Daphnia pulex: one gene and its partner. The protein of the gene in region 1 purifies or fractionates together with the protein of each later gene. This does not show direct contact. Links are inferred from orthologs where the notes say so. Each region holds a gene or a part of one and is shown on either strand. Other genes may lie near its edges. The genes, in order: ER membrane protein complex subunit 5-like and flotillin-2-like.

Region 1 (2,826 bases):
CTGATTTGGATATCCTCTTCTTCCGATTGCGGAGTAGCTTTGATTACGCCTGCAATCACGCACAATTTATAATTATTACAAATTCTAATAATCATACTAAATAGTATTACCAAGGCGAGCAACCATTCCTGGAGCGGGTAATCTGGTCCTTGGTGAGGGCTCGTAAGCCAGCGGAGGCATTCCGTTAGCAGGGGGAGGAATCTCGCAGGCAAGCGGGGGCATTCCGCGTGGAATATCACATTGATAGTGATTTGGCACATTGTGTGATGCTTGACAGCATGAAGGCGCGTGAGGAGCTGCAAAACAGTTTGGTTGCATAGATAGTTCATGGCTAAACTTTGGTGGAGAGAAAACCCTGGGAACTGGGGACATTGGGAAAACACCAGATGGTGAAGCTTTATGGTAGCTGTGAGGTAATGTAGGTCCTCTTTGAATCACTGCAGCAGTATTAGGCTTCATCCAAGAGGGAAGTTTGCCAACAAGCTTTTCAATTTGAGACAGTGTAGATCTGCTCACTTTAGGTTGAGAAACCATCCCATTACACTGTCCTGAAATAAGAAGCAATGTCATTAGAAAAGTAAACAACTGAAGAATTGCAAATTTGTTATTCATTTACCAAATGGACTAGCTCTGGGGCCACATGAGTTTTCCAATTGAGGAAATTGATGAAATCTTGGCCCAGACTGAGATAACTTAGCTTGCTGTCTTAATTTGAAAATCATGTTTGCAACAATTTTCCATCTTAAATCCAGCCCTGCTTTATTGGCTCTGATAGTAATGAGTCTTTGTCTGAGATCCAGAGTTTTGCGTGCCTGAACAAGCCGCTTTTTGGCCATATGATTTAAATAATTACTCCTGTTGTAATTCTTTGGTTGGATTGCTGTTCTTAATGGTCTTCTGTTAAATTGAAAATTGGTCTGCCGTCTCAGGAAGGGTGAGTTATCTTCAACATGTCCTTCTTCCTAGAATGGTCATTGAAAGTTAACACTCCACTGCTTCAATGGTTTCATGAATTTATGCTTACCAGGGTTTTCTTAGCTCTCATATCCCTGATGACATCATCTATAAGAAATGGATACCCAAGGTTAGTAACAAAAACAAGTACACGTGGATTAAACGATGGACATTTTACCAAGAGACATCGACTCGTAATTTGCGTCTTGTAGCACCTCCATTTCTAAAAGATGAAGAAAAGACTACTTATAAAAAATGTGCTTGCTTTGGAGACACTTGTGTGGCAACGATTTGTCGACCCTATAACGTGTGTATCGCTCACAAAGTCATCTTCATAACTCGTTTTTTCTTTTTTAGTTTGCTCCTGAAACGGTATTAGCCTGTAGGCTATTTTTTGCAACAGAGTTGTAGGTATCACTTATTTACATATTTTTAATAAAATGTTTGAAAATATTTTTAAATGTGAAATTATATTTAATTGAAATAAAAAACTGTTACTTTAATCTATTTTACTTTGCAAATTTGTTATTTTCAAATTTTCGAAGTTCTCTAGAGCTGCAAGAGAGTCGTGCAGCTCTGCGCTGTTCAAGGGTTTGAGAGTGTAGCAGACGATTCGTATAATGGTGATAATTGGTAATTTGATTGAATCCCCTAAATCGACCGAGAAATGTCAAGCTCAATGAATAAATATATCTTTATTTTGGGAATGGTATTGCTTTTTCACGCTGCTTATTCGGCAGCTCAACGTAAGTTTGTATATAGATAACATTGGAGGGAACCGCAGAAAAATATATTATTCCTTTGACAGATCGATCATACCTCCGGCTAACTGAGCAAGAGTTTACGTCGCTCCCCGCAGATGTGAGTTACATATAAAAGCTTGCATTGCTGAAGATTTTTACAGTTAATTGTATTGTTTCACAGATTGTTCTTCAAACAATATTTAGCTTATTACTCACTGTTTTTGGAGTAACTACGATAGCTGGTGAATTTAAGGAGATCCGATCCAATATAGACCTACAGAAAAAGTATGCCAATTATAGCCAATCTTTGAAAATTGTTATGATTATATGTTTTTCTATTACAGGACTTGGAAAAATCTGAATAATCGGCCATCCTTCTACACTTTTAATCACAGGGGACATATTTTCAATCCTATTGTGCTTTCACGTTCTAGCACTGGAAAAGGGGCATTAGAAGCCAATTAAACTATTCAATCAACTCATTTAGTCTTGTGTGTGTGTGTGTGTGTGTTAATAAATTTTAACATTCCTTCTGAAATGTTTTGACATCTAATATTTAAGATTTTATTTTATTTCATTTTTATTTATTTATCTTTAGCACAGTTGTTTGAAAATTGATATGATGCCAAACGGAACCGGTCGTTTCATGTTTATAAATATGCAAGAAAAAAAACCAAGAAAGAAACGGGAAACGGTAAGAAAAATCAAAAAGGTAAAAGAAAAAGAGGAAAAGCGACCATTTGGAATTTAGCCAAAATATGACAGCGTTGGCATTTTGATTCAGACGACATGATTTGATCACGTGATCCAATGTCATGACCGAGTCCGAAAGGGCAGTTTCAGAATTGTCGGTACTCGGTACTATAAATGAAATTACAAGAGGCCCTTGTCTTTCAGCCTGTGTTTAAACGATAGGGATGCCGTCGAATCACTGAACCTATTTATAAATTCCCTAGGCATTGGCTCTCTCAAGAGTAATTGGATTCACACGCGCATGTAGTGTGAAGTAGATTTCCTCGTGCAGTAGATACAAAATAGCAGAATTGTTGCAGTGTTCCGATCCCCATTCGAACCACAACACGTTAGTTTGAATACATCATAGTATTTCATTTGCCAGTCATTAAAAGTA
Region 2 (3,828 bases), on another chromosome or scaffold:
TCCCGGTTCGGGGCTGTTCGGTTTCGGAGCGATTATCGCCGTCATCGTTGTCAAGAGTTTTATTCTTTCTTCTTTCGAGAGAAAAAAAATATTGACCACGTCATTTACTTTTTTTTCATCTGTTCCGTCTTCCATGGGTGGCCGGATGCGGATCGCACCGTTCCTTTTTTTAAAAAATTTTTATTTAACCACCAGCCCAAAAGAAGAAGCTAAGAAGTCGAGTGTGGAGTTGCTGGACTGGAACGGAACTCCAAAACTTGTTCTTTTTTTTTAATTTCGCCCGGCAATGACGATGCGTTAACTTGTTTGACGTTAATCGTCCGAGAAGGGAAACTGAAACAGATTTCAAATGGAATAATCATCTTTGAATTTTTTTACTTTTTTCAAATTATTTTTTTCCGAAAAGATGGTGGACGTGTAGAATTTTATTTTTGAATTTTGGAAAAGTCATTCAACCTGAATCGTCGTAACATTTTCCCACCACCACCACCGGCTGCTGCCACCGTATGAATCAGTCGGGCGTCAGAGGGTACATGGCGTAATTATTGTCAAACCCTCCAGGTTCTTTCCTTTTCGCCCCTACTACTCCGCCCACCGGTCTCACCGTACAAGGAAATGATTCGTAATGTCTAGAGTGAGAATGATGTAAGAATCATCGCCTCAATTTTTTTTGAAGTACAAGAAAAAGAGTAGACGGATAATTCCAACAGGAGAAGTGAAGACTTTCTCCAACTGGAAATAATTTGAAATTCAAACTGCCGAGGCAATAGACCGTGTCGTGTCGTATAGTCCCGCTCGTATCGTGTCCAACTGGTTTTTCCTCTTCTTTCCCCTGTGTTGCGTGTCTAGTAAAAATTCCCCATCTCTTTTCTCAAAGTATTTCAGATATTTATTATCTCCGATTCGATTTGTGTAGTCGATAGATTTTTTAAAAAAAGGGGAGGAGGACGACAAGGAGAAAAGATTCTAGTCGTCAGATTCGCTCTGATTCTATTAGCAGAAAACTTTTCACTACGCGAAAGTTGTCGAATCGTAAACTGTCGGCATTCAAATTTGCCGCCCTTGTTTTTCGATTCATTTTTTGCAATTTTTTAAATTTAGCGCCATTGAATTCAGCGCGGGAAAATTTGAAAAGTCGATCGGCCGATTGAAAAGTTGACGGATGTCAAACGAACAATAAAAGTGGCCAACACCCGTAGATTTTCGGGACCGTTTCCACCGGTGGAAATGCGGAGGAGCGTCTTTCTTGTGCCTTGACCGCAATTCTACGGTGGGAGAGAGTCTACCAGTCGATGTAGACATGACGCAAAGTCTTTGAAATAACCAACGTTGTCGTTCGTTTCTTTCCCCGACGAATTATCCCGTTGTTGTTTGAATAGAAGAAGAAGAAGAATCAACACTTTCACGATCTGAAAAATTCCGTTTTTCACGCGGATGACGAAACACGGTGGCGTCTGTCAACCGCTCGTAGACCAGGGATGCGCACGTGACTCCCGGCATGCACGCCAAAAGACCGACCCATTTTTATTCGTGATTTTTATTTACTGTACTTTAATGTATTTGGGTGTTTTAGCTGTGCCTTTCGCCCATTCCATCGCGGTGGGGGTCCGCCGCTCGCTCTCAACTTCTCCGAAAGCCACAAAGTTATTTCTGTCTAGCAAAAAAATAAAAAGAGAATCGAACGTCTTATCTCTTTCAAAACGATATTAAAGCCCCACCCTATTTTTTTCGGTGGAAACTATTCAGAAGAAGACAAAAAAATACACCTGGAATGTAGAGTAAAATAAAAAAAGTCAGAATTTGAAAATCAATTTGAAAAAGGAAAGGAGAAAATCAGAATAGAGAGCGAAGGGAAAGGTGTCAAACAAACGAAAAAAAAGATTCCATTTCCAATCTGCCAAAGGCTCACCAACAAACATTTTTCGCACTGGCCAGACCAACGGTAAAGAAAGGAAAATAAACCTTCCGGGGCTCTTTGGGAGTGGACAAATAATAGAGAGAAATATATAAATCTTATCGGTTGCTGTACATGTACCGTTGTGTTCCTAATACTACTACACATGTCTAGTAGTAGAGAGAGAGCAGCAGCACCCAAAAATACGTCTATACAGAGATGGATGGATGGCAACAATCCGCAACCCATCCGCCCCAATTGATCATCATCAAGAAACCAACCAGAGAAGACCAACCAGAGCGCAGAAAAATTGAGAAAAGATGAAAGAAATAAGATTTTTTTGTCTTTGGGGTTTTTCGACGATTGTCTTTGCCACCAGAACAAGGAGGCTATGCCACCCACCGACCAACCTACCACCACACAACAGGTGGTACCAAAAAAAGGAATATGGTGGATGTGTGGCAGATGCAGAGCGCAGAGCTACTAACAAATTTTTTATTTTCTGACCGTCGGATACGCGCGCAATGTTCCACGACGGGATTTTGTTTAAATGCTCAGCTCTCCAAAGTCTATCCGGCGCTCCTCGATGTTGTGTTGTTCTTATACTGTTGTTTGGTGGTTGTTCCAGTCGTTGCCGGCCACTTTCACGTTGTTAACATCCAAGGACGCGCCCCCGAAAATGAAGAGAGAAAAAAGAGAGACACGAGTGGGGAGAAACATCACGGGCCACGCAATCGAATAATTTCGACGGAAAATTATTTTCCCCCCGCGATGGAGAGAAAACTTTCTCTTTTTTGGCTTATTCTGGATATTGGTGGAGGATTTTGTGTAGATTTGATGAAGGCGCGAAAAAATCTGTTTCAAATGGGAAAACTAGGTCGTGTGTTGTTTGTCTTTTTGATTGAATCGACCGTGGCGAATTTCTTAGTTTGCATTTGCTAATTTTTGGAAAGTTGCCGGGTGATTTTGTTTTAATTGCTGATAATTTCCCTTGATGTTTTATATTTAATTTTCATTCGACTTAATTTTGAATTAAATTGAATAATTATTACAGGCGGCTGCTGTGGTGCCAGTACTAAGACGACCATCGTCGGCGGATGGGCGTGGGCCTGGTGGCTCGTAACGGACGTCCAGCGCATGTCACTCGAGGTAAAACACAAAAATGTTATTTTATTTTCCATTTGGCGCTTCAGCTCAAACAGATAAAATAAATAATTGGCTCCTTCGTGGAAAACATTCGAGTCAAGGGCGCCATTTCCGACAAAATTCAAAAATAAAAACTTTCTCCAAATTTTTTTTGGTAGTTTTTTAGTTTTATTTGTTTCACAATGACGTCACAATTGAAATCCGTTTAGACACCCAAGAAATTGGTGTTGCGGTTTCCGTTATCCGGCGACTTCCGAAGCGGATGAGACGGGAGAGTCTATTGATTCACTTTTTTGTTGTTTTTGTTTTGAAATTACATTTTATTTTATTATTTTTTTCCCAGGCTCCTTATTTATTAAATGGTGAGAAGATAATAATCACCGACTTCCGTTTGGTTGTTTTCTATTTGCTCCTATTCAGGTGATGACGTTGAATCCAATGTGCGAGCACGTCGAGACGGCCCAGGGAGTGCCGCTGACGGTCACCGGAGTGGCCCAGTGCAAGATCATGACGGACAAGGAGCTACTGCGGACGGCCTCTGAGCAATTTCTCGGCAAAACTTCCCAAGAAGTCCAGCTAACGATCCTTCAAACCCTCGAAGGCCACCTGCGCGCCATCCTAGGCACTCTCTCCGTCGAAGAGGTGCATAGTTGTTGTTGCTCTTTTCAAGGTTTCCCGTCTGGTTTGTTTTCTTTTCAAATTCCCGCCGAATTGGCCGTTTAAACCTCCCGCTGAGAGTCCACCGAAAATGTAGAGGGGAAAATGGACATGTCCGTCTGAATAAAGAA

The links.
Region 2: the proteins of ER membrane protein complex subunit 5-like (region 1) and flotillin-2-like purify together in Homo sapiens (affinity purification with mass spectrometry; 3 studies listed by BioGRID and IntAct, with this or other methods). This does not show direct contact. The link is inferred for Daphnia pulex from reciprocal best matches to the Homo sapiens genes MMGT1 and FLOT2.

Annotation. Positions count from the first base shown.
Region 1 is NC_060023.1:1,096,267-1,099,092, reverse strand, and holds ER membrane protein complex subunit 5-like, read left to right. Parts: upstream 1-1,539; 5' UTR 1,540-1,621; coding exon 1,622-1,700; intron 1,701-1,762; coding exon 1,763-1,815; intron 1,816-1,878; coding exon 1,879-1,982; intron 1,983-2,041; coding exon 2,042-2,162; 3' UTR 2,163-2,250; downstream 2,251-2,826. Other genes in the region: uncharacterized protein LOC124197044, read right to left, coding at 1-49, 111-548, 617-962, 1,025-1,062, 1,133-1,175. UniProt on the Homo sapiens protein: Part of the endoplasmic reticulum membrane protein complex (EMC) that enables the energy-independent insertion into endoplasmic reticulum membranes of newly synthesized membrane proteins.
Region 2 is NC_060025.1:1,484,005-1,487,832, reverse strand, and holds part of flotillin-2-like, read left to right. Parts: intron 1-2,948; coding exon 2,949-3,043; intron 3,044-3,460; coding exon 3,461-3,682; intron 3,683-3,828. UniProt on the Homo sapiens protein: May act as a scaffolding protein within caveolar membranes, functionally participating in formation of caveolae or caveolae-like vesicles. May be involved in epidermal cell adhesion and epidermal structure and function.